Linked DNA regions of Caenorhabditis elegans. The protein of the gene in region 2 purifies or fractionates together with the protein of the main gene of each other region. This does not show direct contact. Each region holds a gene or a part of one and is shown on either strand. Other genes may lie near its edges. The genes, in order: rde-1, rde-4 and drh-1.

The links.
Region 1: the proteins of rde-4 (region 2) and rde-1 purify together in Caenorhabditis elegans (affinity purification with western blotting; one study listed by BioGRID). This does not show direct contact.
Region 3: the proteins of rde-4 (region 2) and drh-1 purify together in Caenorhabditis elegans (affinity purification with mass spectrometry, with the first as the bait; one study listed by BioGRID). This does not show direct contact.

The regions. Positions count from the first base shown.
Region 1 is NC_003283.11:9,984,679-9,995,775, forward strand, and holds rde-1 (Piwi domain-containing protein), read right to left. Parts: upstream 6,965-11,097; 5' UTR 6,937-6,964; coding exon 6,880-6,936; intron 6,825-6,879; coding exon 6,625-6,824; intron 6,583-6,624; coding exon 6,270-6,582; intron 6,226-6,269; coding exon 6,170-6,225; intron 6,116-6,169; coding exon 5,937-6,115; intron 5,890-5,936; coding exon 5,673-5,889; intron 5,627-5,672; coding exon 5,015-5,626; intron 4,975-5,014; coding exon 4,860-4,974; intron 4,816-4,859; coding exon 4,207-4,815; intron 4,146-4,206; coding exon 3,663-4,145; intron 3,587-3,662; coding exon 3,365-3,586; 3' UTR 3,238-3,364; downstream 1-3,237. Other genes in the region: rmd-2 (TPR_REGION domain-containing protein), read right to left, coding at 45-137, 660-717, 1,132-1,234, 1,277-1,395, 1,442-1,599; MYG1 protein C27H6.8, read right to left, coding at 1,859-2,124, 2,177-2,624, 2,671-2,872, 2,968-3,074; trpp-6 (Trafficking protein particle complex subunit 6B), read left to right, coding at 7,229-7,324, 7,381-7,452, 7,497-7,598, 7,648-7,725, 7,774-7,914, 7,960-8,028; K08H10.6 (Major facilitator superfamily (MFS) profile domain-containing protein), read right to left, coding at 9,054-9,111, 9,157-9,273, 9,325-9,572, 9,624-9,765, 10,014-10,413, 10,457-10,755, 11,030-11,097.
Region 2 is NC_003281.10:10,216,521-10,224,982, reverse strand, and holds rde-4 (DRBM domain-containing protein), read left to right. Parts: upstream 1-6,336; 5' UTR 6,337-6,338; coding exon 6,339-6,718; intron 6,719-6,767; coding exon 6,768-6,999; intron 7,000-7,043; coding exon 7,044-7,164; intron 7,165-7,212; coding exon 7,213-7,637; 3' UTR 7,638-7,681; downstream 7,682-8,462. Other genes in the region: Y70G10A.4 (ATP synthase subunit e, mitochondrial), read right to left, coding at 2,274-2,392, 2,445-2,565; cox-14 (Cytochrome c oxidase assembly factor 3), read right to left, coding at 2,562-2,565, 2,609-2,695, 2,747-2,822, 5,927-6,029; cts-1 (putative citrate synthase, mitochondrial), read left to right, coding at 8,366-8,462.
Region 3 is NC_003282.8:6,605,204-6,617,835, forward strand, and holds drh-1 (RNA helicase), read right to left. Parts: upstream 8,151-12,632; 5' UTR 8,146-8,150; coding exon 8,056-8,145; intron 8,007-8,055; coding exon 7,832-8,006; intron 7,788-7,831; coding exon 7,721-7,787; intron 7,671-7,720; coding exon 7,351-7,670; intron 7,293-7,350; coding exon 7,172-7,292; intron 6,843-7,171; coding exon 6,754-6,842; intron 6,698-6,753; coding exon 6,531-6,697; intron 6,489-6,530; coding exon 6,408-6,488; intron 6,358-6,407; coding exon 6,269-6,357; intron 6,220-6,268; coding exon 6,092-6,219; intron 6,044-6,091; coding exon 5,813-6,043; intron 5,746-5,812; coding exon 5,641-5,745; intron 5,598-5,640; coding exon 5,386-5,597; intron 3,905-5,385; coding exon 3,781-3,904; intron 3,735-3,780; coding exon 3,525-3,734; intron 3,478-3,524; coding exon 3,188-3,477; intron 3,135-3,187; coding exon 2,808-3,134; intron 2,757-2,807; coding exon 2,669-2,756; intron 2,606-2,668; coding exon 2,547-2,605; intron 2,495-2,546; and 3 more. Other genes in the region: nstp-2 (UDP-xylose and UDP-N-acetylglucosamine transporter), read right to left, coding at 1-156, 437-539, 586-699, 901-980.

The DNA.
Region 1 (11,097 bases), on a different chromosome or scaffold from region 2:
TAAAATTATATTTTATTGTTTAAATATATAAATGAACAGTCTACCTTCTTTAAAGCATCATACCCCTCCTGGACGCGGTCTGTTCCGAAAAGAGCATCAAGATCTTCGAAGGACATTGTTTTTGAATGAGCGGTGGTCTGAAATCAAATAACTTTTCGTTAAAAAGAGAACTTAAATATTTCTTATCATTTTGAATTGCCAGCAATCAGGCAAAGCTAAGGCATTTCGGAGGAAAGAAAATGAAAGAAGAAAAAAGAGAGCAAATTCGTATCAAAAATGGGAAGACAACAGAAGACGAGAACAGCAGTTTTGTGTATACTGATTCACGAGCGCTACGCGAGAAAGAAGAGAGTGACGGCTGTCAGAGGAAATAGGCAGTTAGAGATGTTCTTTATAGGCTACACACAAACAAAAAATGTTTGGAAGCACAGAATTCGTTCGAGAATATTCAAATGAATCATAGAAAATATATGTAAAAGTTAAAGAATATAAACTTGATATCGCTTTGCTAAAGATAACTTTGAAATGTTCAAATCTAAAAGTTTTACAGATATTTTCTGGCAACAAAAGATGGGAACAAAGTATAAGGTCCAGCATATTCTAGGGTTTTTTTCGAGAGAAGAAAGTCGGAAAAAGAAGACAAAAATACTCCAACTGACCTGCGATAAGGATCTGCTGAGCGATTTTGAGTCACCAAATGCGCGGTCGTCAGTGTACCTGCAAAAACGATTGAAAATTTTGTTGGTCAAAAAAAACAAGATTTTGATCTACCATGGTGGGTGAGTCATCGAAAAATATAAGTCTAGATGTTTTTTACCTGGCATCACAAATCGACAGAAATTGAATAATTATTAGTGACAAGATAATAATAGAATTCATTGTTGAAACAGAACTCAAGAGAAATGCAGACGTTTTCTCTCTCCCAAAAATCTTGTCTCACAAAGTGTAAAGAAGTTTCTTGGGAGCTCACGAGAACAGATTATCAGATGTAAAGGGTGACATCGGGCAAGAGTTGACGTCATTATTTATAGAGATCTATCTTATCTTTTCAATTTATGATTGTGGAGATTTTTAATCTTATCATTCTGATTTCTGGATCTATTATTGACATCTTTGGCAGCAAATGATTACCAATCTTCTTCGGCGTCTCCATACTCTGAATCTGAAGTAATCGAAGTCCAGCTTCTGGTCCTTGACATTTGTTTGTAGGTAGAAGGACGGCTATTACTCGCTTCTGAAAAATATATAATTTATATTTCTACTTTTTTTCAATTACCTAATTTGAAAGATACAGTCTTGAGAGCTCCACTACTCAAAGAAGTTCGAAGTGCGCGTTGACTTTTGATTTCATCGTACATGGTTTTCAGCAGAGTTTCGAGATCGTCAACTTTGGCACTAAAATTATTTTTTCTGAAACAACTTTCGTACTTCATTTTGATACCCTAGAACCTCGGTCATCATCTGAAGTCGTTCGATTTCGACGATATTTCGGTCATCTTTTCTTGCATAGTATAGAAATATACCTACAGCCGCACCTGTGGCTGCTGTTATTCCCACATATTTCCATACAGTTTCAGAACTTGTAGACGGCGTAGTCATCTGTTAAGCTTAGAAAATACCAATGGCTCACTGATTTAGAAGTATAAAGATTCAGGCAAGAACCGGACCGTTATGACACGTGACAAATTTTATAGACAACTGGAGTGTAAGAGATGGAAAAAGAAAAGAAGAAAAGCAAAGTGACATCGGGGAGGAAGTTTATTGAACGTAATAAAATATCAAAGGATCACTGAAATATCAGCTGGACAAATTCAAACAAAACAAATGAAAACAGTAATTAATTTTAGATAGATTAGATCTAATTACCCAATTTAGCTTTTTTCACTGGATTCTCTTCTCCTATTTCGAGAGCTTTCCGTGCCATGGCAATTGCTCCTTCACGAGTCAGATTTCCTCCAATGAATCCGGAAATGTGGACAAAGACTCCGCCTGGGATTCCACTTTCCTTCGAAAGATCGTCATCACGGAGACCACGCCAAGCAGCTGGAAGTGGCATGCGATTCTCGAATGATGACATTTTGTCGACTGGGATTGCTTGAACGCGCCACGAAGCATTGGTAGAATCTAGAAAACAGATAATAATTATTGAATTTTAAAAAATTAAATAATTTCTAACCCGAGAACAGAATGTAAGTGATATTATCGTCGGCAATATTCTTCTCTACTTCAATGTCGAAAAAGTGTTCTTTCCACGGGCATCCACCGTTCTCGATAAGAATGATCCTTCCAGATGCATCAATTTCAAATCGTTTATCCACAGCAGCTTCGATGATCTCTCTAGCTGGCCACCAAACATTTGCCAAGTACTTCACTGATCGTGAAAACTCTTCACCGATGAATTGCATTGCTTGTTGGAATCGTTCATCAGCATCATTCTCAGGTTCATTCCAATGGGAATTGAATTGACCAGTACGCGATGAAAGATTTCCTGATGAATGATATCTTGGAACTCCGTCGTATTGAGAAATCCCGTTATCAATGGCGTCGATTGATTCAACGAATTGCTCGTAGAGACGATGATAGAATAGATCAATCATCGAGGATGACACATTTCCACCAAGGATCTGAAGTTAATAGTTTCAAAACAACCTTTTGATTATTGAAAGTTACCTGATTGATGACTTCTCTCCCGTAGTGAGCGTAAACTAATCCTGCAGAGCTTAGTTTTGTATCAAAGTTAAGCTTCTCTAGAGTACGCATGGTATCAGTGAATCCACGTTGATGATGATCGTATCGTTGTTTTGAATGATCAAAGATTCCACCGACATCGACGATAATATCACACTTCTCCAGTTGAGCAGCGTCACGGGTTCTGAAATTACAGATTTCAGAACTCAGCTATAAAATAAATCCTAATAAAAAAGTGGGTCATTTCGCAAACTTGATAAACATGAAAAATCGAATTACCTTAAAATCGAATGATCCTTGAATTGTGGCAATTGTTTCAGCATGAAACAAGCAAAAGCCTCATCGCAATGGAATTTTCCGGAGTGAGTACCAATGAGCGATGTCATCTTGTGACCGAACTGTCCAAGAAGTCGTGAAATCACCTGCAGAGAGAAAACATTTTAAAAATCAAATTACCTATCTTTATGAAACCGTTATCAATAAGTAGTTTAAGATATGATGCTCACGTTCAAAACGAAATTTAGAGGTAATAAATAATAAACACAGAATAAATTTCAAGTAATTTATGAAAACGTTAGTCATGGAATGAATTTTTGAAACCGGGCTTTAAAAAAAAGTAAGTACAATATCTACAATTGAAAAATTTGATTGAAACGGGCGACACTTTTGCAAAATGTTATGCGAACGACATTCCAGGGTACTTCACGTTAGTTTGGAGAAAATGTTCCATTTCGTGTCGAGTCCGTGGCTGTGCATAGTCACCGATGTAATGTTCCTTGTAAGTTCGATAAAGCTCTTTCGCTTTTTCACATGATAAATGAGCATAATGAACCGGAACAGGCAACGAGATGGGTTTTCGACATCTAGCAGAGAGAAAAGCAAGTCCGTAGGTCATTTTCTGAAACATTTTTTTATAATAACTATATGCGGATTACAAAATCCTAAAATCGCTAACTGCTATTCAAAACGCTTACATAGACTTCATCTTGGCTCATTCCTTTATCGTCATACATAACAGTGTAATGTCCTGGACGAGATGTACCAAGGACACCATGATGAGATGCCAAGAAAAAATCGAATTTGTATTTCGAAACGATAAGTTTATCCACAGTTGTTCCGGATGATGGGTTCACAATTCCAGTTTCTTTGCTTTCTTTCATATCCTCCTCCCATTGTTTAACAGCAGCAACAGCGACATCTGTTTCAGCAGGAGTAAGATCTTTATTGACCACTGGCTTATCTTTTTCCATTCTTCGAAGCAATCGTGTATTGTGTCTTTTCTGAATCACAATGAACGTGTACTTCGGCTCTGGATCTTCTCCATCCCGTTCCGACATGAATTGTTTTACTTCGCTTTTTAAAGATCGAAGCTCATCATGACTAACACGTAGCATCTCCGAATCGCTAACTCCGTCTCGATAGACTACAATATGCGCTGGTGCTCGATTGTCGTTGTTCTGAAAGTTTACAAAAAAATTAAAAATCCCAGAGATCTTTTAAATACTCAAGACAACTCACTTCTGCGAATTCTCTGAGCAATTTCACGAACTTTGCTTCCAAAATATCTGTTCTTTCCCGTCCATGAGCCACTGCACGCTCACCGGGACGACATTCTTCTTGAGTCACAATCATATTTCGATAGATAGTTCCACCTGGATTGATACTCGCTACTACAGCCGCTATAGAATAATCAATTCCACTGTAGGAGGTTGGATGAGTTACATCAATTCCAACATACATAGTTAATGGCATTGTTTTCCGTCTTTCTTTTTCTTCTGGTGATATTTCTGCAATTTCTGACCAGTCAAGCTCCTGGTTAATACCTCCTAATTTCGCGTTGATTTTCAATGCAATTTGATAGAAAATTCGTTTTGATCCTTTCTCGTGCCTTAGTGATGCCAAAGCTTTTGTGACTGTTTCAGAAGTAATATGCTGATTAGCTACACCGATGGTGTGATCGCAATAATGTTTCACAAAACCGTAAGCATTCAGTTGTCGTTTGGAAATGATAATGAACATTAAGACTTTTTGTTCTTTATCGGGAAGACGTTCAAACATATTCTTCGCTTCTGTTGCGGCTATTTCAAATCTACCGATTCCGGTATTTAGTGTACAATTTTTGTAGAACTGTAAATATGATATTTAAAAACTTTCAATTTTCTGAAACTTACGGCATATTCATTTTTCGTCGCGTCGTACATAATAGATTGCGCTCCTCTGTTTTCATTGGCACCAATTCGTATTCCACGGAACTTGCAACCACCAATTAGTTCGGTGTAGAACTTACTGAAAATATTTCGGAATAATCTACGTAGAAAACACTTACACAACGTCGTTCTCTTCTAAGCATGGATTTCCCGCTGTTTCGTTGACTACAAAAACAGCACAGCAAAGTTCTTTTTCGGGAACCACATTCAATTGTTTTTCTTGAAATCCACGAATCACTGGTGTCATTTTAATTTGTTCATTTACACTATTCACAAGCATTGGCTCTTTCAAAACCTTTCCTGGACATTCGATCATCTGAAGTTTGGAGCATAATCCAAATCTTTCAACAAAATTTAGCTCTTCAGAAGAGAAATCCAATTCTTTCAGCATTTTTAGGGTATTTTCTTTGTAGTCGTGAGGTTTTCGTGTAGCTCGCTTTAGAAACTTGTCTTGCATCACCAGATCAATTCGATTCTTGTATCTTTGTGGCTTCTCATGAACTTCAAGATGTTCCATTGGTACAGCGTATTCTTTTGCTCCACTTTTAACTTTGACTAGTGGTAGGTGGGGAAACTCAATGAACTTTTTGTTTTCCTCATAGATTTTGAACAATGTAGTATCGTACTTTTTTGCATTTCTTCCTCTGTCCGATTTACCAGTGACTTTATAAACAAGAGAGTTTTCCTCGCACAAATCTAGAAATGTCAGATGTCGTTCTGTCAATCTCGACCTGAAAATCAATTTGTATATTAATTGTTTGAATAATTTAAACTAACATTTCGTTATCCCAAACTTCTGCGCATTTCAGCTTCAAATTTTCCAATAATTGTCGAATTCTTGGCCGCGCGGCTTGTCTGATTGTCATTTTTCCCGCCATCAGTTTTGTTTTAAGATCTTTTCGTACATCATCGTTACACGACTGGGGGTCGACAATTAGGAGAAGATAATCCAGAAGAGACATTTTCGGTGCATTGTAGAATAGTTTATCGACAACTTCAACAAAAATCACATGATTTTTTATCGCAGTTTCTCAAACTTACTTGCAAAATTGAGCACAGGTTCACCATCGAACAATTCTTTGATTCCAATGTAAATTCCAAACCATGCTTCGATTCTTGGTGCTACTTCTAATGATTGTTCGAATCTGTTTGGATCGTGAAACGATTCAGGAACTCGCAGAATTGAATTATTATCGTACACAAAATTTTTCGCGAATTGTCTTAAAATATATAAATGAGTTGAGGTGATTATTATTATTATTATTGCAACTCACACTTTAATCTCCTCGTTCACAAAAGGCGCGTAGCGAACTTTCTGGGTCATAACATTCTGAAAGCTAATTTTGTTTGTTATAATGCGTGTTTTTCATAAACCTTCAGGAATTTGTAACTCCGATTCGCTTCTTCGTCTTTTTCCGGATTTTCTCGACTAAAGTTCAGGTGAAATTTTTTACGATAGGTAAGTATCATTGTGTATAAGATTTTTTTCTCCAAATCCTTTTCATCTTTTTTCTCCGAATCCTTTTTTACTACTTTCTCCGAAACCAGCATTTTTGATGTGACAGTGTTCAGTCGACAAACACTATAAACAGTGTCCTTTTCATCAAAAACATAGTCTTCGAGAATAAAATCTGTCTGCTTCTTCTCATGCCGAAGATGTTGCCAGAAGAGTTTTGCACGATCGGGACTGAAAAATAAAATTAGTTTTGACTAATTTACAAGCACTTACATTGGAATTTCTGTCTTTTTTGGGAAAGGTTTTCCTGGTTTTCTATTCAATACTTCCTTTGTCATTTTCACTTCATACTCGTAGTATTCCCGATCGTAAATTTTGCTGGAGAACTTGAACCAATTTACCAAAAGAAGTACTTTCTTCTCATAGAATTTGCCGTCGCATTTACCAGTGGGCCTCGCAAGCCATTTCATCTCCTATAATATTAATATCAAACTTATATATCTTATAGCTGCTAATAATTGATCATACCGGATCGAGAGAATGACGATAAAATCCTTTTTCCAATTCGGGAAAATTCGAGGACATGTTTCATCACTTTGTGGCTGTTGATTATCTAGAAATTACCAATAAACAACGTTTATGATTAAAAAAGAAGTATATTTGATAATTGAAGATAGAAAAAGTTAAGTTTTAATCTCTAATTAAGTTGAACAGTGTTACAAGGCATTTTTAAGCGAGAAAAAATGTTTTTTGAAAATATTTTTAGCATGAGGAATGTCGTCATTTGCGCTGTTTCCTCCGCAATACTTCGTCCCCGTGTTTGCAGAACCACTCTTTCCAATTTATTTATTTTTTATTTCCCTTCAAGAAATTTTTTATGGCGTTTCCTTTTGATATTTTACATTTGGAAATTATCCGTTCAACTTTGGAAAGTGAAAAAGATCGATGTGAAGCAAAGGAAAAGTTTGGAACAGTGAGTTTTTCTTGATTTCTGAGTTTCAATTTATTTTATTGGAAATCACTTTTCAGATTATCGATAACTTGAATGGTCCAGCTGATATTGAAAAGTACGAAAGCTTAGTTCAAAAAGCTTTTCTTCACGTAAGTTAAATGTTAGAATACGTCTTCCAATGTGTGTTCTTCAGGCAAATGCAGAGACTAAACTTGAGTCGATCGGATTCAGAGTTGGAAGGCAGCTCGTGGAAAAAGTATCAAAAGAGTCTCCGAAATTGGTCACTGAGTTAGAAGTAAGAATTTTGTGACAAGTTTTATCCGGTTGTAATTTAAAAAAATCAGATTGTAAAGTTCATTTGCAAGGATTTCTGGTCATCAGTGTTTGGCAAGCAAGTCGATAATCTCCGCACAAATCATCAGGTATATTATTTTTCAAACGATTTTATTTCCAAAACTTATATCTTTCAGGGTGTCTATGTTGTTCAAGATGGAAGATTTACAACGCTGCGAAGTTTTCCCGAAGGTGATCAATACGTGAAAGAAAGTGGATATTTCCTTGCTTTTCCATGTGGTTTACTTCGCGGAGCCCTTGCTGGTCTTAATATTAGAGTGAGTTCTTTCTTTTTTTGCGTAATCTACGTTTGTTCGTTTCAGGCAATTGTAACTCCAACAATCGAAAGTGTACCTTCTGTGAAGTTTCATATTCAAGTTCAACCAAAATAGTATTTTTCACATGTCAATTAATTTATGGATTTTTGTATATAGTTTATTTAATTTTTGAGAATAAATAAAGAACACCGGTAACCTTGATGACATCGAAGTAATAGAAATAGAAGAAAACATTATAATTGAAAAAGTTCATATATTCCCACCGAAGACTATATTTTGGTTACAGGAAACCAAAAACCTAGTTTTGCATTTTTGGAAATTTGGTGGAGCAAGTTCGGCTCCAATAAAGGCTGCAGCCGGTCCCATTCCAATGCTAAATACAAAAGTGAATAAAAAGAATAATTTTATAACGAAAACAAGTAGTTACACAGTCGCGATTCTTTGCGTCAAAAACACAAGCGGGCGTGCTCCTTCAAAGGTTACTGTAAGTTAAAACTCGTGGAATTTTCATCGACTTTTCATAGTTCTTCTCACGATTTGTTATTATCAAAATATAAAAACTGTCACCTCAAATTTGACTGCAGCAACGCGCGCGAAATTTTCGCTCTCGATTCCGCATGCCGTAAAAACAGTTGGGACCACGGTCTCGCGGGTGATGACAGAAGCGGGAGAAGAGAAAACGCTAGAAACATCAGTTTTTGCGTTGTATCTTCGCATTTTCTCGTCTCCGGTTTCTGTCACCACCCGCGGGGCCGTGGTTACAGGTGTTTTTACGCCATGCGGAATCGAGAGCAAAAATTTCGCGCGCGTTGCTGCAGTCAAATTTGAGGTGACAGTTTTTATATTTTGATAATAACATTTTGTTTTTGTTGAAATGTATTTTTTCAATAAATAAATATATTTTCAACAAATACTGGAAAAAATGAAAAACTATCCGCAGAAACGAACGTTTGAAATTACAGTACTCTTTGTAGGCGCAAAGGACACGCCTACAAAGATACAAAGAGTACTGTAATTTCAACTAGAAGATTTAAGTTTTTGTATACTACAGTTTACTTATTTTTTTGAGAATATTTAAAGAACACCGGTAACTTTGATGAAATCTAAAGCATAGGAAAAAGTAAAAACCGTGATATTTATCATTGAAGAAGCCCATATATTTCCACCGGAGATTTTCCTTTGGTTTCAGGAAGGTACCTGAAATAATCATAAGGAATTGTTAAACAAGGAATTAAATCTTACATATAAAAATAGGCTGCTGTGATTGTAAGTGGAACAATAAATAACATAAATGCAAATCCGCCAATAGATTCGACTAGTTGGAGATAAATGATTGGACAAATAAAAGATCCGGCAAATCTGAAATTCAAAAATTCAAATATTAATCTAGTGCAAAATGCAGAAACTCACTGTACGGAAGTGCTATAACTCTGCATTTTAGAAATGGTTCCAGGTGGAGCAAGTTCTGCTCCAATGAAGACTGCAGCCGGTCCAATTCCAATGCTAAAAACAAATGTGAATAATACAAATAATGCCAAAAATGGCCAAGCGAGGAATGAATCTTTCGTAGAGTCGTATAAGAATACCAGGGACATCATAAAAATATTTATAAGAGCAAGAACTAAAAGAGATGTGATAAGAAGTGGACGACGGCCAATCTAAATTAAAATGTGATAATAATCCAGTTTAAAAATAATAATTATAGAAACCTTATCCATAGCTATGGCAGCTAGTAGTGCTGAAACTATCGATGCAAAACTGCATAAACTGTTTGCCACTGCGGATCCCTCTGGTGAAAATCCAATTGTTTGTAATAAAAACGTCCCGAAGAATGAGATGGCAACAATACCACTGAAAATTGTATATTCTTGCTATTATGTCGCCTTACAAAATCATTTTATGTCGGGATTTTCCGAATATGACTTTTTAAAAAGTTTTTAGGTGTTACGTTTGAAATTTGACATCTGTAATTTAATTCCGAAGGGAACACTGAAAACCCCAAAAAATGTGTTGGAAAACATAAAAACTGCAAAAAATGGTAGTAAATGGATAAGTTTACCAAACACTCGTGGGTAACAATTACAGGATCTTTTTCTTACCTAAAAGCTACTGAAAAGTTGATAGCAACAGCAAGTGACAATGCTTGTGCACATCCCTTATCCTTCAAAATTTGTCGAAGGCTCTTTTCTTTCACTCCATTATCGATAATTCTCAAATCTTCCATAATTTTCTTGATATGACATGTTTCACCATAATACACTTTTATAGCCGATTCTCCTTCAGAAATCTTTCCGATTGATAGTAAGTATGTAGGACTATCATGGAATGTTGTGATATTTACCAAAATGTGTAGTACACATGGTATTGTTTCAATAAAAAAAATATATTTCCACTGGGTTACTGTTCCTAGTACATATGGGGTTCCAAGAGTTGCTGCTAAGAGGAATGCACAATTTCCGATGAGACCGCTAAGAGAGTTGGTTAAACCACGGAACTTGGCTGCAAATATGGAAAATATTAGTAGTTCAATTTCAAATGATACCTGGACTAATCTCTGTTAAAAATACACCTTGTGCAGATATTCCAATTGCAAATGCAATACCAGAAAGGATTCTCGAAATAGGTAAAAGTTCACATAATCTCAATGAATATGCCAGACCAAATACTGGCGCAGAGAATAATTGTAAAATAGCAGCCAAAAGAAGACTATTTCGTGGCCCAATTGATTGTAATAGGAAAATTGAAATATATGCTCCAATCATGGCTCCAATAAATAAACATCCAGCTAGAGAAGACCATATCAATGAAAGCTGAGATGATGAGAGTTCATATGAATAACGACTGAAAGTGTGGGAAATGAGGAGTTAGGCAATATTTTCCAAAATGTTTTGAATGAGTGACAAGGTATTTTCAAACATAACTTACGCAAAATGAATGTTTCAGTTTTTTCCAAGCCTTATTTAGTTTGATTGGTGTCATTTCAAGAATGAACATTATTAAATGTTTGTTTGAAACAATTCATTGACTGAAGATAACTTCAAAAATAAGTTTTCAATTTTTATTTCCCTACTACTTTGCGAATTCAGACATCTGAGGTTCAAAATTTTTAACATACTTTTGTAAATTATCTACTATGAATTGCTGGAGAATTTCAGATAACGGATTGACTGCCGAGATCAAGTA
Region 2 (8,462 bases):
ATAATTCTCAGTTTAAAAAATTTTGAAAACCAGTGCACATTTAAATTTCCATATTCTCCATAATTCTCAGTTTAAAAAATTTTGAAAACCAGTGCACATTTAAATTTCCATATTCTCCATAATTCTCAGTTTAAAAAATTTTGAAAACCAGTGCACATTTAAATTTCCATATTCTCCATAGTTCTCAGTTTAAAAAATTTTGAAAACCAGTGCACATTTAAATTTCCATTTTTTTCATAATTCTCAGTTTAAAAAATTTTGAAAACCAGTGCACATTTAAATTTCCATTTTTTCCATAATTCTTAGTTAAAAAAATTTTGAAAACCAGTGCACATTTAAATTTCCATTTTTTCCATAATTAATACTTTTATGAAATAAAAAAGAATGACTCCATATAATTTTCCAGGACTTTTGAATTTTTGAAAAAATCAGCTTCTATATATTTTTATCAATTTTTTAAAAATACTTCCGTACAAGCTATTATACTTTGATTGGCATATTCTGGTATTTTTGACTATGCTGAACAGTTTTATGCAATAAAAAAGAATGACTCCATTTGATTTTCCCATACTTTTGAATTTTTGAAAAAATCAGCTTTTATATATTTTTATCAATTTTTTAAAAAATACTTTCGTACAAGCTAATATACTCTGTTTGGCTGTATTTTCGGATGTAAGGTACAAAATTTTATTAAAGCACAAAATTATTGACAATATGTATAAACCGGGTACAAAATAATTAGTAATTTTGGAAATTGGAAAATGGTTTGATGAATTAGAATAGAATTGGAATAGTTATAAAACATAGAAACACAATTAGATTACTTGAATCTGTAGGCATACTGCTCGAGCTGACGCTTCTTCATTCTCTTGGCTGGAATCATGACAGTTTCCTTCACTTCTTTGCATTTTTTGATGTTTGCATCCTTCTTCGCTTGCTCCTTCAGTTTTCTGCTCTCAATGAATTTCTTCAACTTCTCATCATTGGCTCGATCTTTCTCTGCGGATTCTTGACGAGACTCTTGCTGCTATGGCTTCATGTTCCGCGATGCTTGGGCAATCACTCTCTTTCGCTTTGAAGTGACTTTAATTGGAACTGTTCTTTTAGACAAGAACATATCAAACGAGAGTTCACTTGAAGATGACGAAGAAGAATTTGATGCAGATGGTGATGTAGATCCAGGACTTCTTGATCTTTTTGGAGCAACTCTTGACTGATGTTCCTCTGCTTCAAGTCGAGAAATGATTCTAACAATTCTTCTCGCTTCCCACATTATACTCTCCGAGTTGACATATTTCATGGTAAGTGCCTTGATGCCATGTTGAGATCCGAAGCGAACGGCATTTTGAGTTCGTGGAAAGAAATTCTGAGAATTACTAGAGTAAAATAAAGCATTAAAAGATAAAGAGCAGCGAAGAAAATATAAGTCAGACAATATTCGATGGACCTCAAAATACATAATTATTCAAACAAGAGAAAGAGAGTTTGAGGTGAGACCTCCAGTTGACTGAAAATGTAGAATGAATGACTATTCTAATGGCAACCGGATAATATCATCATAAACGCTGGATGTGCAAACCACGCCCCTTTACCAACAAGTATACGATACTTTGACCCAGTTATCGATCGACGAGGAATGTGAAACAATACAACTTGCACCTCCGTTCTTACATGTACCAAGATTTATGGTCTAACTGTGGCTATTGGCCTTTGGTAACGGATGGGAAAATAGTAACAACCATAATATTACGGGTACACTAAATTCTGAGAATGCGAATTTCGCAACATATTTAACGCGCAAAATATCTCGTAGCGAAAACTACAGTAATTATCTAAATTAATACTGTAACGATCATAAGGGCTACAGTAGTCATTTAAATGATTACTGTAGTTCTCGCTACGAGATATTTTGCGCGTCAGATATGTTGTACAATACGCATTCTCAGAGTTTAGTGTTCACGTAATAAGTAACGCCACAATCAGTTTTGTAGTTTTTCAGACTTCCGTCAAAAACTACCCGTTCATGCCTCAGTGCTTCAGAAAGCTCTTGAAAAATCATACCCTTTTTTTTGTTGTAGCATTCTTCAAATATTCAGTGTCAATAGCAATAGAGTTATTTAAATATGAAACATTTCAGAGATTTTTAATCAAAATGGTATTAACAAATAAGAATGAAGAAAATGAGAGACAACAGAAAAAGCCGTTTTAACAGGATCAGGAGACGTGGGGAGACCTACTTAATAACCTAACAATTAACTATTCTAAAACAGCATTCAAAATGTTTGAGGTTGTCCGGTGGCAATGATTGTATCCAGATCTTTGAGTTGCCGTTCGAATGCGTCAAGCTCTTTTTGTAATTGCCGTTTTTTGAGAACGCTGTAGTAATTTACACCTGAAAATACATACACACTGTAATTGTTAATCAGCAACTTAAAAAATCTTACCATTAAAAGAGAAATAAATCTTGAAAAGTTCAAAACCAGCTCCAGCAGTAAAGCCAACAAAGAACAATCCTTCCCATTTGGAAGAAAGTGAAGTGAGAGCACGTGAAAACGGACGAATCATCTGAAAAATCCAATTTTGGCTAGTTTAAAACTTCAAATCTCACTTTTTGAACGCAAATCCGGCCTTATCTGCCTCGATTAGTTCTCTCTCCAGAAGTTCTCGCTCTTCTTGACGGATTGGTCGCACAAACCTGGAATTTTATGGAAAGTTATATAAAATATAATGGATTTTAATCCTTTACTTGTAGTAGATTCCTGCGTTGATGATACAATATGAAGTACTGAAAACGAGGAAACCAAGGATGGATCGGACAATTACTGAAAAGAAAAAGAATTACTCAGGCAACTCAAATCTAATATGAAAATATTAAATAGCAATATTTTCGTAGTTGGGTGATATTTCAAGATAAAATCGCAATATTCCGAGACTTATTCGAAATCTTTTTAGATTGAGCAATCTTTTGAGAATATTTCGCAATATTTTGAGGTTGATTCGCAATATTTCTGAATCTGAAAATATTACGAAAAATTCGTAATATTTTGAGATGACATAGCAATCTTTTGAGATTGGTTCGCAATCTTTCTGAAATCTAAAAATATTACAAAAAAATGTGTAATATTCTAAGATTAATTTGCAATCTTTTTGCAGTCCATAAAGATTACAAAACACCATTTCCAAATTTCCATCGGCTTTACATGATCGTGATATATATACAACAATTATGATTACTGTTCCGTTCTAAATTCTCTTTTCTTCCAAATGATAAAAGACTTTTCAAAGTAAAAAACAGCTACATGAAAATCTATATAATGGAGCATCTCACTGTTAACGGATATTTGATTTTTCGTTGCATATTGTAGAAGGAGTTTTTGCAGAGAAAGCCATAGAATTCACAAATCTGTCCACTCATGTAATTTTTTCTAGATAATTGGCCGGTCATATTACAAATTCAGTCAAACAATCACGAAGATTGGTCGAATATATTAAAGTAGACTTACAACTATTCATTCACGCGTGATGCGTTTGAGATTTTCTGATTTCAATTGAAATCATAAAATATTGTCAACAGCAAGCATGTTCCCAGTATACTCATCATTTTAATCAAATTGTTAGTGAAAAAAAATATTGAAAAAATAAAATGTTTTTCTCTCTTTGACAAAAATTCGGAAAAATTGCACATCTAACTTTTTTAAAAGCATAACAAATAAATCGTTTTTCCACATTCGCTTTCAAAGAAAGTTATCCAATTTCGCTCTGACACTTAGAAAATTTGCGAAAAGTCACTGATTTCCCATCAAAGGTAACGAAAAGGACGTGCGCCCATCAACTATTTACTTAAGCAATAACTAAATCTAGATGCGACACGTACAGGATGGCTCAACAGGTAAGATAATGGTTTATAGACTCAACGACAAGCGACGGACAAGTTCAACTCCCCTCAATGGCAACAAAAGTTCTTCGAGTTATCACAAAACAGTTCTAGAATAGTCGATGAATGCATTTTTAATATTTAGAGACAAATTCGCAATATTTTGAGACAAAATCGCAATATTCTGAGACGAAATCTCAATCTTTGCAGATGAAATCTCAATCTTCGGAGACGAGTTCGCAGTCTTTTGAGACAAATTAGTAATATTTTGAGATAAAACGGAAGTCTTCCTAGAAATTTTCACACTTTCGCAATATTTTGAGATGAAATTGTAATCTTTTGAGACAAAATTGAAATCTATTCGAAATTTTTAGTAATCGTATATGGACGCACTATTTCTCGTTTTTACTACAAAAATATTGCTATTTAATATTTTCATATTAGATTTGAGTTGCCTGAGTAACTGGAAAATCAATCTTTCAAAGCATTACTCAGGCAACTCAAATCTAATATGAAAATATTAAATAGCAATATTTTTGTAGTAAAAACGAGAAATAGTGCGTCCATATACGATTACTAAAAATTTCGAATAGATTTCAATTTTGTCTCAAAAGATTACAATTTCATCTCAAAATATTGCGAAAGTGTGAAAATTTCTAGGAAGACTTCCGTTTTATCTCAAAATATTACTAATTTGTCTCAAAAGACTGCGAACTCGTCTCCGAAGATTGAGATTTCATCTGCAAAGATTGAGATTTCGTCTCAGAATATTGCGATTTTGTCTCAAAATATTGCGAATTTGTCTCTAAATATTAAAAATGCATTCATCGACTATTCTAGAACTGTTTTGTGATAACTCGAAGAACTTTTGTTGCCATTGAGGGGAGTTGAACTTGTCCGTCGCTTGTCGTTGAGTCTATAAACCATTATCTTACCTGTTGAGCCATCCTGTACGTGTCGCATCTAGATTTAGTTATTGCTTAAGTAAATAGTTGATGGGCGCACGTCCTTTTCGTTACCTTTGATGGGAAATCAGTGACTTTTCGCAAATTTTCTAAGTGTCAGAGCGAAATTGGATAACTTTCTTTGAAAGCGAATGTGGAAAAACGATTTATTTGTTATGCTTTTAAAAAAGTTAGATGTGCAATTTTTCCGAATTTTTGTCAAAGAGAGAAAAACATTTTATTTTTTCAATATTTTTTTTCACTAACAATTTGATTAAAATGATGAGTATACTGGGAACATGCTTGCTGTTGACAATATTTTATGATTTCAATTGAAATCAGAAAATCTCAAACGCATCACGCGTGAATGAATAGTTGTAAGTCTACTTTAATATATTCGACCAATCTTCGTGATTGTTTGACTGAATTTGTAATATGACCGGCCAATTATCTAGAAAAAATTACATGAGTGGACAGATTTGTGAATTCTATGGCTTTCTCTGCAAAAACTCCTTCTACAATATGCAACGAAAAATCAAATATCCGTTAACAGTGAGATGCTCCATTATATAGATTTTCATGTAGCTGTTTTTTACTTTGAAAAGTCTTTTATCATTTGGAAGAAAAGAGAATTTAGAACGGAACAGTAATCATAATTGTTGTATATATATCACGATCATGTGAAGCCGATGGAAATTTGGAAATGGTGTTTCGTAATCTTTATGGACTGCAAAAAGATTGCAAATTAATCTTAGAATATTACACATTTTTTTGTAATATTTTTAGATTTCAGAAAGATTGCGAACCAATCTCAAAAGATTGCTATGTCATCTCAAAATATTACGAATTTTTCGTAATATTTTCAGATTCAGAAATATTGCGAATCAACCTCAAAATATTGCGAAATATTCTCAAAAGATTGCTCAATCTAAAAAGATTTCGAATAAGTCTCGGAATATTGCGATTTTATCTTGAAATATCACCCAACTACGAAAATATTGCTATTTAATATTTTCATATTAGATTTGAGTTGCCTGAGTACTACAACTTGGAAAACATATTCGTCATGTTTCGATTAAATAAATCGTTGTCTAAATCATGTTCTTACCCTTATGAGCGATGTCAAGTCGACGATTTGTGAAGATTCTTCGGTAAAGCGGTCGACTGTCTTCTCTCCTTCGTGCCGCGAACTGAACTCGCGACCAAAACATTCACTGCAAAAATAAAAAAATAAAAAAATTAATTTCAAAGTTAAAAAAATGAACTGTAAAATAAGGAAAACACTTTAAAGATCACTTTGAAAAATATATTTTATTAAAATAAATAAATTTTATTGAAGCAATCGTTATCCGAGAGGAGTACACAGCAAATCGCACAGTTGAAACAAGTGTTACCGTACCACCGGTCTCGTTGCCTTTGATGAGAAATTACCGCAAAACTTGAAAATTGAACGTTTTTTTCTTTTCGTTTCTTTAAACGAGATCCGCTATTATTTTTGTTTCAAATTATATTATTTATAGATGGATTTAACCAAACTAACGTTTGAAAGCGTTTTCGGTGGATCAGATGTTCCTATGAAGCCTTCCCGATCGGAGGATAACAAAACGCCAAGAAACAGAACAGATTTGGAGATGTTTCTGAAGAAAACTCCCCTCATGGTACTAGAAGAGGCTGCTAAGGCTGTCTATCAAAAGACGCCAACTTGGGGCACTGTCGAACTTCCTGAAGGCTTCGAGATGACGTTGATTCTGAATGAAATTACTGTAAAAGGCCAGGCAACAAGCAAGAAAGCTGCGAGACAAAAGGCTGCTGTTGAATATTTACGCAAGGTTGTGGAGAAAGGAAAGCACGAAATCTTTTTCATTCCTGGAACAACCAAAGAAGAAGCTCTTTCGAATATGTAATGCTTTCAAGTTTATCAAATTGAATTATATTTCAATTGTTTTCAGTGATCAAATATCGGATAAGGCTGAGGAATTGAAACGATCAACTTCAGATGCTGTTCAGGATAACGATAACGATGATTCGATTCCTACAAGTGCTGAATTTCCACCTGGTATTTCGCCAACCGAGAATTGGGTCGGAAAGTTGCAGGAAAAATCTCAAAAAAGCAAGCTGCAAGCCCCAATCTATGAAGATTCCAAGAATGAGAGAACCGAGCGTTTCTTGGTTATATGCACGGTAGAACTGCTAATTAATAACTCGAAAATAATAAAAAATTTCAGATGTGCAATCAAAAAACCAGAGGAATCAGAAGTAAGAAGAAGGACGCAAAGAATCTTGCAGCATGGTTGATGTGGAAAGCGTTGGAAGACGGTATCGAATCTCTGGAATCATATGATATGGGTATGCCTCCAAATAATTGTAGTTAATATTTAATTTTACTGCTTTCAGTTGATGTGATTGAAAATTTGGAAGAAGCTGAACATTTACTCGAAATTCAGGATCAAGCATCCAAGATTAAAGACAAGCATTCCGCACTGATTGATATACTCTCGGACAAGAAAAGATTTTCAGACTACAGCATGGATTTCAACGTATTATCAGTGAGCACAATGGGAATACATCAGGTGCTATTGGAAATCTCGTTCCGGCGTCTAGTTTCTCCAGACCCCGACGATTTGGAAATGGGAGCAGAACACACCCAGACTGAAGAAATTATGAAGGCTACTGCCGAGAAGGAAAAGCTACGGAAGAAGAATATGCCAGATTCCGGGCCGCTAGTGTTTGCTGGACATGGTTCATCGGCGGAAGAGGCTAAACAGTGTGCTTGTAAATCGGCGATTATCCATTTCAACACCTATGATTTCACGGATTGAAAATATTATTGCGTATTCCTGAAAAATGAAGCGTCTGAATGATTATATCCTTTTTAAATATTTTTTTGAATAATGCCATTCAGAGTTGAAACTACTCGAAATTATATTTTTGTCGTTCTTTGTGTTTTCTCTCCCTCCATTACTTTTCCTCGTGTCAATTCTACTGTGATTGTTCTTTGTGTGCCTGCCGCGTGGTAAGATTGTGTGCGAAACGTCACAGTTTTGTGCGTTATGGTTTCTATTTCTATGAAGACAATGTGCTCTCACTCCATCAACGGGCGGCTGTGTTTTATCATTACCTCCATCACTTATAGAAACAGTAAATACCAATGATGTTCTTTGTCCGTTTTCTCCCCAACGTGGTTCCATCAATCATCAATAGAATTCTATAGAAGATGCGTAATCTCTATGCCTCTGACCTCTACAAAACTCTTTTCCACACTCATTCTCTGCAGTGCACGAGAGCGAGATTTAGAGAAGAAAAGAAAAAAGTGTGCGGCCTGCGCGCCGCCCGTCCTCATTTTTGAACGAGTGTGGGTCGCGGTCGCAAATTGTTTCACCTTCACAGCGTAGTTAAAATGTTTCAATAAAATTTATCATCATTTTCAAGTTCTCAAATGATAAATCTCATCTGTTTTTTTTAATTGCGTGACCCGCCACATTGATATGACGATGCAAGTTTTCCAATTTTAAATTTTCGTGATTTCCAGGTTTAATCCGACCAGAAAATGTCGCTCTCTGGAATGGCTATTCGCAGACTTATCACCAAGGGAGTCATCCCTGTGTGTCAAGTCGCTCCACTTTCAACATCTGCTGAAGGATCCA
Region 3 (12,632 bases), on a different chromosome or scaffold from region 2:
TTCTTCCATCGAAAGTCCCGAATCTCCTTGTGTTGACGTGGCAAGTGTGCAAATGACAATTCCGATGGTAATAGCGAATACGGAAATGTATTTCCGAGCAGAATAACTTTTACCAACCATAACAACTGAGAGAATCAATGTGGCAAGAAGAGAACCCTGAAAAAGTAGGTTTAGCCGGTTTTGAATGAATTTTACATAATTTAAATTGCTTATAAAACCTCTAAAACTAATCATCCGCCAAGGGTGTATTTTTTGGAAAATCGAACATTTTAATTTTTTAAAAAGATTTTTCAAAAAATACCTGTAATTTTTGGTTTCGAATTACATATTTTCATATGTCATAAATTCATCGAAAATTTGGAAATAGTTTGTTAATTTTTTGGGTTTTTTTCAGAAAAAACTGAAAAAATTCCCCTGCGAAATTCCTGGCGCTCACCGATCTGAAGATGATATGAAGTGGAACAGGCACATGGAAATTGAGAGCTTGATTATTGACAACATTGACAATGAAGAACATGGTAACCGTCTTGAAATAACCTCTGAAAAAATTAACGATTTTTACTAAAATAAGAGCAATAAACTCACTTTAATGGAATTTGATTTTTAACTGTGAAGAATTTGGAAGTTGAGACGAGTCCTACTGTAGAGATGAAGAGAAATGTAGAAAATGTCATCAGGTTCATGGCAGATGGCTCTTGTCTGTAAATTTATTTTTTTAACGCTTCTATGTTTGATTTTTAAGTTTTTAAATTAAATTTTTAATTTTGTTAAATTTATTATTTGACCTCAAAATACTTTCATCAGATTCTTGCTACACATTTTTTGTACCCGAAAACCGGTTTTTTTTAATCGTGTTTTTGAAAGATGCTATTTTGTAGGGTATTCTGTAGGTTTTCTCACTTTGCGATGTTCTCCACAAAAACCATACATCCCATACAACTACCAAGTACACCGAAAATCGGTGCAACTGCCGATGCCATTCTTACTGGAAAAAATTGGTGATATATTGAAAAAAGGAAATATAAGAAAATGCAGTAGGAAAAAGAAGACAAGAAAGAGAATGAAAAAGATTATTGCCAACCAATTTTGTCGTAGGAATTCCATAGAAACCTTTGAACGAACACATTACATTAAAAAAGTGATTTTCCTTGAAAATGGCCCAGAAAATTGGAAAAAGTTAAAATTGAGTAATTTTGCCAAAAAAAATACAGTACATGGTCTCGCCACGACAAGTTTTTGTTAAAGGCATGCGCCTTGAGAGACTACTGTAATTTCCAAACCCTCGTCACCAGTGCGAAATATGCTTGTCTTTTTTGGTTTTTTGGCAAAAATGTTTTTTTGTCTAAAAAAACTACAAAAATTCAGACATATAAGAAGCGAAAATAAGTCTTTTTTAGGGTTAGAGAATTTAAATTCATGTTTTTTGCCCAATTATCCAAGCAAAGAGACAAAAACTCGCAACATTACAAAAAAAAATCTCGAAAAACACACAACTGGTCTGATGAATTAATGAAAGAAAAAATGATCAGCACAAACTACAATCGAAACTGTGTTGTTTGTGTGTTTGAATACATTCCCAGTGTGTGCGTGTGTGTCCGCTGAGATTGTGAACGAAAATGATTGGAACTGAGCGATTGGCAAGTGGAGTGGGAGAGTAAAAATGTGAATAAACGCAGAGTGTTAGACAATTCAAAAGTGAGGTTTTGGTCATCTTGATGTTGGAATTGCGGTTGGATTGAGGATATTACAATAAGCAGCTGTAGATTTTTTTTTGAACAATCATCGAGAAAATTTTACAATATCGCAAAAAATCGCTGAGTAGATACAGGATTTTTTAGAAAATATGAAGTTTTAGTGAATTTATAAGAGTTGTTTTCAAATTGAGATTAGAAATCTACCATATTAAAAAAATAACTTTCAGGACAACACGAAATGCCAAACTTCAAAATGGTAGACTAAAATAAAATACTCTGATCGAAATGGCTGAAATGACGAAAAAACTTTAGTTGATGTGATTTGATAAGAAGTCTTATCGTCACACTACAACCTACATGTTACATACCACAAATGTGGGTAGAATAAGTCATACGGAAACCTGAAAGATTGAGAAGAAAGATGCATATGAATTAAATTGGAATAAACCGCAATGCTGAAAAAGAAACAATGCCGAATAAAAAAGCTGTGAAATTTATTTTTTTAAAAACACGGAAATGAGTAATAAACAATGGTACACTTGTGGAATGCATTACTTAATCTCTGGGAATTTGATATGAAACCGGAGAGACTAAAATAAAGCATGAAAATAAGAAACTCGTAGAAATTGTCAAATACTGAATTAAATAAGAATGTCTTCTTATGCTTCTCTGATTAAATTGACTACTTCTCCATTCGCGTGATGCTCAAATACCATTGGTGTTCGAGCTTGATCCGCATCTCTCATTGTTTGAACATCCAATTGTCGTATTTCGGTCGGTGTGAAATATTTGTCAAGAATCTGAAAGAATTTTTTTTTCGAAAAACGAGAAAAGTCTGCACACAAAACTTACATTTTTCCATTTCTTGACGATGATCCGTTTATCGGTACCTTCGACTAGCAACACGATAGCTGAAAATTAAATAATTAATAGAATTAAGAATTAAATAAAATAAGCATGTAAAGAAAACCCACAAAGAGCTGATAGACATGGAAGATCCACTGTATTCACTTCAATCAACTGACCAAGCTTTAAACCACAATTTTCGCGGCGACAATTAATCTGAACGAGTTTACATTCAAAAACTGTGTCACTAATCTTTTAGGTTCTCACCGATCCAGTTGCATTATATTTAATTAATGCTTGTTGCTCATCCGTCAGGCGAGTTTTTCGAACGAGGCTCCAGAATCCCGGATCACAGACAAGGTATTGAGTATTTCTTGATCGAATATCCTTGCTTGTACACAAAATCGCTTCACATTTTTTACAGATGATCTTGTATACAATATTTCGATTAATTTGCTCCTCGATTTTTTGCGCTTTATCGGTATCTTCTCTCAGGATTCGAGGCCATATTTTATTGCTTTCCTCGTCTACACATTTTCGGAACTCAGCTGGCGAATTTTGGATTAGGGAGATTGTCTCAGACATTAGACTTTCCTAAGAAAAATACATTAATATTTTCAACTAATTCGTTGATCTTAATTACTAACTTTATCCCGATTGTTACTTTCCTGGTCTCGAAGTGCTATGCTATTCGTGATGAGCACACATTCTGAGTTGAGAGCTCTTCCACGACCTCTTCGTTGAACGTGAGCAATTTCATTTGTTGCATAGTTATACTTGATGACAAGACTACATTCAGGAACATCCAATCCTTCTTCAGCAACAGAAGTTGATACGAGAATTCGAATTTCTCCATCAGCAAACATTTTCAACTTTTCCATTTGTTTTTGTTTCGATGCTGAGATATCGGCGCTGCTCGCAGTCGACTTGTTCAATCCTGTAATAAAAATGAATAAGTTATGTTTTCAAAACGAATAACTCTACCAGACATCCATTCAGATTTGATTCCAAGCATCAGCAATTCTTCGTTCGAATTCAAAACTTTATTGAGAATCGTTGCCTCGTATCTAGTTCGCACAAAAATGATTGTTCGAGAATCGGCTCTTTGCAAATTTTGTTCAACAATATACTGCACTGTTTTAGAAATCATGGGATTTTCCGCTGAACCAGTTCCGACCAATTGGTTGTGATAACCTTTAAAATTGAGAATTTTTAACGTTAAGTAAGTGATAAAACTCACGTTCCCATATTCTAATCATGTTGACAGTGAAATTTGGTGTCCGATATTCCATCTCATCTTTCAAGTAATTCAATGCAACTTCGGGATGGAAATTAATGTTGTATGACAAAGTACAGAAACATTCCTGGAATCGAATTCAGAATAGTTTCAATCTTATACACTCAAAATAATAAAACTGCGTTGCGTGTACGCCAAAATAGGCCCCGCCTTTTTTTGGCAAATACTGTTTTACTACTTGATCTTTTACTCCGTATCTCTTTTACTACAAGATCTCTTTTACTACGAATTCCGCATCTAGATCTTTTACTACAGTTAGCTCTTTTACTACGTGATATCTTTTACTACGATTTGACCACATAGATCTTTTACTACGGAAAATACTTTTTTACTACCTCATCTTTTACTACGTGGAGGGATACTGTTGGGTTACTGTAGTGGTATTGTATAAGTAACAGTTTTCAGATAATATATTATAGTTTTTTTTTTAATTTCTAGAAATTTATTCACCATGAAAAAATTTTTACTACAATGGCAGGGATTATATTTTGTTTCGTATCTTTTACTACGAATTAAAAATTAATTTTTATAGGATAGTCTAGATATAAACAAATCTATGAATATTTTTTAAAAATATATAGGTCACAATTGTAGTTTGTGCACAAGTAGTTCTAGTAAATTTCAGTTGTTTATTTTTTGGATACTGAGATGGAGTTAGTGGAGGGATCCTGTTGGATTACTGTAGTGATACTGTGGGAGTAATTAACTTTTTTCGCGTTACCAACAAATTAGTTCCCTACCGGTTGATTTATAAGTTTTTAAAATGTAATAAGCAACTTGCGGGTTCGGTCAGTTATATGCCAGATGTTTGAAATTTTGACTTCAACTGAAATTTTGATCAAAAACTTTAAATTTGCAAAAACTTTTGATCAAAAACTTGTTTTTTTCTGGATTTATCAAATCTTGTATAGAATAAGCAATTTATCGTTTTTCATAGTGAATAAATTTCTAGAAATTAAAAAAAAACTATAATACGTAATCTGAAAACTGTTACTTATACAATACCACTACAGTAACCCAACAATATCCCTCCACGTAGTAAAAATACGTCCGTAGCAAAAGAGTAAAACGTAGTAAAACATCCACGTAGTAAAAGATGAGGTAGTAAAAAAGTATTTTTCGTAGTAAAAGATCTATGTGATAAAATCGTAGTAAAAGAGAACACGTAGTAAAAGAGCCAATTGTAGTAAAAGATCTAAATGCGGAATTCGTAGTAAAAGAGATTCCGTAGTAAAAGAGATCTTGTAGTAAAAGAGATCTTGTAGTAAAAGAGATACGTAGTAAAAGATCAAGTAGTAAAACAGTATTTGCCCCTTTTTTTCGCTCACTCACGGGGAAAAGGCAAAAAGCGGTACCCCAGGCAATATCAGCCGCCGACATCATTCGAGGTCCGCGCAACACACTATTTTTCTCACTGTTGGCGTGGCGAGCTGTCCCCCTCCCCTATTTTTGCCTTTCCCCGTGAGTGGACGATTAAAAGGCGGGGCCTATTTGGTCGTACACGCAACGCAGTTTCATTATTTTGAGTGTAAATGATCACACACTAACTTTTAACACATCCAATGCCTCATTAATTATAGTCCTTGTCCCGGTTTCTCGGAAACTCGTCCCTGAGACCAGATTCATTTGATTACAAACCCAGTTCTGATAACCAGCATGCTCTTTATCAGCTGGCGGGTCGAGAAAACTACTATCCGGACGGAAATCTCGTTCAGTCGTTTCAATCTGTCGTCTTTGCTCAATCCCGATATGCTCATTTCCTGAAAATAAGATAAATTCTCTCAATTTTCTGTCTGAGCATACGTAGTGCGGTTCTGATTAGGCCTTCAACTTCTTGCATCATAAGTGTAAGCCTATTCGTGAACATTCCAATCGGGCCATCAGTACTTCTTTCGCAAAGTAAGACCTCTGTAAATTTAATAAATAAATTCATCATCAAGGAGTACGGTACCCCTAAGAAAATAAATTAACTCACTGTCTGGGACAATCGGCGAATAACCTCTTAATTCTTCCAAATTATCCTTAACAATGCTCAAGTCCTTGACGTCCATACTTGCACAGAGACCAGCAATATAATTCCTGACTTGTAGACAATCATTTTTATCGCCAGTTCCAAGGGATGCTGTCAGACCAATGATTTGTGGAAGACTGTGTCCTTCTGGCATGTTTCCCATATTCTTTAGGTAGTGGTATTCTCTCATAATATCTGAAAATGACAACTTATATTAATAGTATTTTTAATTACGAAACCAACTTGAATATGGAGAATTCTTGACTGTATTGTGACACTCATCGAAGAAAATAATGGTAAACGTCGAGAGGAAAAACTGATCCAATCTAGACTCATCGTCGAGTGAGTTTCGATGCTCATTGCAGAGATTTCTGAAATTAAACTATTAATTTGGGAAATATTGATAATTAATAAACTAACACAATCATCTGAGGTGTTGCAACAATGAGATCTTTGGATTGAATAACATTTCTCGTTGGAACATTATCGGATCCTTGAATGATCTGAGTCTAAAAGAAATTATTAATTTACTATCTGAGTATTCGAATACGAAACAAACATGATAAACATGATCCAAATATGATGAAATGCTAGCCGCCTGTTGATTCAGAATCATCGAGTTCGGTGTCATGAAGAGAGCCTGAAGATTCGAATTTTAAACTTTAAAATAGCGAAAAGCAACCTTAAATCGTTTTCCTTCACTTGACCTCGACTCAAAATGTTCTTTGATAATATTCGCAGCGATTACAGTTTTTCCAGAGCCAGTTGGAGCAGTAACAATTGTATTTTTGCCTTGAAGAGCCACCTGGCAGAGTTCCTCTTGGTAATTTCGAAGGCATAACTGTCTTTCTGGAAGATAACGCAGTTTAATTATATTTCCAGGCAAATTTAGGATGGAAACTTACGCCGATGAATTCGTTGACGAACAGATTCAATTACAAGACGAGGAGTTGAATTTTCTTGTACAATGTTGTCGACACGAATATTGATCATTCTGAAAAATTAGTTATTAAGAATGAATACTCGATAACACTAGATTTATGTGAAAAAAATGCTCAAAGATGTTTAAAATGAGAAAGATATATAAATTGGCACTGCTGCACTTTCTGCGCCTCTCAACAAACATTCCCGTACATTTAAGAGTTAGCAATGCGTGTGGCGGGTGTTTTTCTGCCGGAATTTATCATAGTGATTCTAGATAGCATACTAACAATTGATACGAATGAAAATTGTATACATTTTCAGTCGTATCTCCAATTTTCGATAAAAATTAGTATTCTTCCAAAACAGTAGCGCAATTGTATTTTATCAATTAAAATTCACCTGTATCGGTTAGTATTCAAAGCCGCAGTTCCTAAATAGACCATCATTTCCGTAGCGGATTCATGTACTGGACAAATGTATATTCTTCCATTCAACTGTCTTCTACTTGCATTGATGATTTCTATAACACGATAAAATTATGTAATTTTCACAATTATCTATTGATAATAGATGCGTACGGTAAAACCTGAGGAATCCATCGTTTTTCAATCGCAAAACTTTGGCGATAAATTGCTTCGCCTCGACATCGAGGTTATTTGAACTTTTCTCCGAAATTGTATACATTATATCGTATACCGCTTGCTCTCCGAGCAGAGGCACAGTTCGAAGAATTAGCTTCTTTATGAAATCCGAGTCTTGATTGTCTTCTTCGTTGCGCTCTATTTCTTTTCTCAGAACTGCAACGGCGTCGATGTATTGAGGGTACGAGTCCAGATAAGCCAGAACCACTTTTGGTTCAATGAAGCGTAGGAAACCTTCGAAGTGATCGAGAATGTAGCTGAAAATAAGATTTTAATTCAACTTTGAATAAAACATTTGTTCACAAACTGAAAATCGCTCAATTTCACTTCTCTGTTCGAACAGTTAAGAAGCTTATGCACCGTGCATTTTGGAACTGAAAACTTATAATTATTATTTTTAAATAGTTCCATCACATACGATAAGTTTGCAGATATGTCATAATATCTTTGTAAAGCCGCTCATCATCAGCGTTTGACAATATACTGTTTTTCAGATCGTGATACAGTTGCTTCGAGAATTCCTGCGCATTTTCAGATTGAATTTTCAATTCGTCGATCCTTCCTAGCGGGAGCAGCTCGGAAAATCCATCACCCTGAAAAAAAAACGATTGAAGCGTGGCAGAAAATGCATTTCCAGCTCACTTTTTCCGGATCACGGTAGATCGGCTCGAGGCAGAGTATGATCTCTTTGTCGTAGAGGGATAATATTGAAGAACACTGCTTTTTCCTCATTTTATCTGCAAATTTAGATTTTTGAGAAAAACTAAGAGAAACGGGCTCAAAGAAACATTATTTCTGAAAAACATTTAGATTTAATTCGAGAAAAAACAAGAAATACAGTGTTCGTTCAACTGAGCACGCTTGCTGACAGCTGAGTGCACGTCTGCGTCTCTCTACTAATACACTGGAACCGCACTCTCTCACCAGAGCTGTCGACAAAAGAAAATATTAACTTTTCCAAAATTCAAAATAAAGCAGAGAAACTCATTTTAAGAATTTTGCCGAGAAAAAACACACAAAAAACCAAAAATACACAGGAAAAACGGTATTTAGCATATTAATTAAATTGGAATAAACCGCAATTAAAAGGAAAAATCGAAACAAGAAAGATGGTCGAATTTACATTCAAAATAGAAAAATATTTATTTATAAAATGAGTAATTTACAATAATAGTACAATTGCAATTGCGGAATGTCTTATTTTGAGAGTTTGATATGAAATCGGAAAGAATGAAATAAAGCATTAAAACAAGACCCTCGTAGAAATTATCAAATACTAAATTAAATTGGAATGCCTCAAGTTATGCTTGTCTAATTACATTGATTACTTCTCCATTAGCTGTATGATGCTCAAATTCGATTGGTGCTCGACCATAATCCGCGTCTTTCATTGTTTGAACATCTCGCTGCTTTAGTGTGGTCGGTGTGAAATGTTCATCCAGAATCTGAAAAAAAACTTGTACCGAATCTTGTATATTTTGATCGTTAAACATACATTTTTCCATTGTTTAACGAGGATCCGTTCATTGGTACTTTCAATCAGTAGCAGGATAGCTGAAAATAACTCAATTTTTACATTTATTATTATACATCCTAGATTGGGGCTCACTCTCACTTTTTAATAATCTATAGAGCTATAAAATGTTCTAATCTCCGGACTGCAAATAACGGCCCAATCTTGGATGATGTGATGTCGTGGGACATTTTTCTATTTTGAAATGAGAAAAAAACCAACATTTTACTTTCAGACACGGGAGATTCACTGTATTCACGTCGATCAACTGTCCAAGTTTCGAACCACACCTCTCGCCAAGACATTCAATCTAAATAAGTTTAGATGCATATATTATAAAATCTTTTTTACGAATCTCTTTGACTCTCACCGATCCAGTTGAATTAAATTTATTTGATGCCCTTTGTTCAAGTGGCAAGGGAATTCTTCGAACGAGACTCCAAAATCCGGGATTACACACAATGTATTGCGTGTTTTTTGATCGAATATCCTTATTCGTGCACAAAACTGTATCACATTTCATACAAACGATCTTGTACACAATATTCCGATTAATTTGCTCTTTAATTCTTTGTGCTTTATCGGTATCTTCTCTCTGGATTCGAGGCCAGACTTTATTGCTTTCCTCATCTACACATTGTCGGAATTCTCCTGGCGAATTTTGGATTAGGGAGATCGTTTCGGTCATTAGATTTTCCTAAAAAGAGATTGAAATGTTAAAACAATTTATATATGCACATTAATTACTCACTTTTGCTAGATTATTGCTTTCCTGGACATGAAGTGCAATGCTATTTGTGATGAGCACACATTTTGAGTTTCGAGCTCTTGCTCGTCCTCTTCGTTGAACGTGAGCAGTTTCATTTGTTGCATAGTTATATTTGATGACAAGACTGCATTCTGGAATATCTAATCCTTCTTCAGCAACAGAGGTTGAGACGAGAATTTGATTTTCTCCATCAGCAAACATTTTCAACTTTTCCATTTGTTTTTGTTTCGATGCTGAGATATCGGCGCTGCTCGCAGTCGACTTTTTCTGTCCTGTAAAAAAGCCCGTAAAAACTTGATTAAGAAATTCAAAATCAGTTTTTTTATTATTTATCTACAACATTTTGGAAAACTGTACCGGACATCCAATCAGATTTGATTCCAAGCTCATGCAATCGATCATTCAAAACATAATTGAGAAAGTCTGCTTCCTTTTTTGTTCGTACAAAAATGATGGCACGAAAGTCGGATGTTTGCTCATTTTGGTCTAAAATAAACTGCACAGTTCTAGCAATCATTGGATTTTCCGCTGAACCAATTCCAACCAATTCGCGATGACAATCTTTAAAATTCATATATTTATTTTCTAGCTGAATTCGTGAAACTCACTGTCCCATATTAAATTCATGTTGTCGGTGAAATTTCGTATCCTTTCGGGACCCAATTCCTTTTCCAAATACTTCTTCAATGCAACTTCGGGATTGAAATTAATGTTGTATGACAAGGCATAGAAACAGTCCTGAAATTGAAATATTCTTTTAAAACCGAAACGATATTTTCTAAAATAATTCCAGAAAATCTTCATTTGAGAGAACATGTACTGTACCTTCAACACATCCAACACCTCAATGATGAGCGTTTTGTTCCTGGAACCCGCCAGCGAGACACAATTTCTCTGATTGGAAATCCAGTTTTCATAACGATTATGCTCCTTATCAGTCGGTGGGATTTCATACTTTACGGTAGGTTCGTTTTCTGAAAATAAGACAAATTCTCTCTATTTTCATTAAATTCGTACTTAATGTTGTTCTGATGAGATCTTCCACTTCTTGCATCATCTGTTTGAGCCTCTTCGTGAACATTTCAATCGGGCCATCATTGCTTCTTTCGCAAAATGAGACCTCTGTAATGAAAAAAAAAATATTAGAAAACTCTCGAACGAATGCTACTATACTATCCAAATTGTAATGTTGTGAAGAAAACTAGACTTTTCAAAAGATATGAAAAGAAAATAGCTTACGATCCGTGACAAACGGATTGTGATCCAACAGCTCTTCCAAATTATCTTTAACAATGCTTAGCTCCTTGACGTCCATATTTGCACAGAGACCAGCAATATAACTCCTGACTTGCATGCAATTCTTTTTGTCGCCAGTTCCAAGAGATGCTGTCAGACCAATGATTTGTGGAAAACTGTGTCCTTCTGGCATGTTTCCCATATTCTTTAGGTAGTGGTATTCTCGCATTACATCTGAAAGGAAAAAATAAATAAAAGAAGAATTATTTTGAGACCTACTTGAATATGGGGAATTTTTGACGGTATTATGGCACTCATCGAAGAAAATAATTGTGAAAGTTGACAGGAAGAACTGCTCTGGTGGATATTCATCGTCAAGTGGGTCTCGGTGCTCATTGCAAAGATTTCTGAAATTAAACTATTAATTTGGGAAATATTGATAATTAATAAACTAACACAATCATCTGAGGTGTTGCAACAATGAGATCTTTGGATTGAATAACATTTCTCGTTGGAACATTATCGGATCCTTGAATAGTCTGAGTCTGAAAATAGATATTCTAAAAATTGATTATTTGCATATACAAAATAAAGGGTAAAGATGTGCTAAATATGACGAAATCCGAGTCTCCTGTTGATTCAAGATCATTGAGTTCGGTGTCATGAAGAGAGCCTGAAGATTCGGATTTTAAACTTTAAAATAGCGAAAAGCAACCTTAAATCGTTTTCCTTCACTTGACCTCGACTCAAAATGTTCTTTGATAATATTCGCAGCGATTACAGTTTTTCCAGAGCCAGTTGGAGCAGTAACAATTGTATTTTTGCCTTGAAGAGCCACCTGGCAGAGTTCCTCTTGGTAATTTCGAAGGCAAAACTGTCTTTCTGGAAGATAATGCAGTTTAATTTTATTTCCAGGTAAATTTAAGATAAAAACTCACGAATATGAATTCGTTGACGAACAGATTCAATAACCAGTCGCGACGCTGAATTTTCTGGGGCAATGCTGTCCACACGAATGTTGATTATTCTAAAAAGGGAATACCGTATTTCCTCTATTAGTTCTGCCAGACCAGCAATTTTTTTGTGGGAACTTCAACAAATTCGTCATTTTTTGGCTAAATTAAATTTTAAATTGTTTAATTTACATTGGATCTTCAAAAATTAGTTTTGCACCCCTACGGGCCAACCGAAAGTTAGTCTTGCATGCAAGATTGATAGACGGTACTATAGTTAGTTAGTATAGTTAGTTAGAATGAATCTTGGACAACTCTAGACCATGTTTTCTTTTTTTAATGTATTAAGAACACAAGCTAACCATTTCCTTTTTTAATTAATTTCCTTTATTCATCCTCCCAAAACCGAATTGCAATGAGGTGTATCTTCGAAAAACAAAAATCACCTGAATCGATCTGTGTTGAACTCTTCTGTTCCCAAAGATGCTATCATGTCTCTAGCTGATTCATTAACTGGGCAAACGTACATTCTTCCATTCAATTGTCTCCTACTCGCATCAATACTTCCTATAGCAAAAATATTAAGTTATTTTAACAGTTATATCTAGATACTTACGGTAAAGCCTTGGAAATTCATCGTTTTTCAATTTTAAAACTGTGGTAATGAATTGTTTTGCCTCAACATCGACGTCATTTGTGCTTTTTCCCAAATTGTATACATGATATCGTATACCGCTTGCTCTCCGAG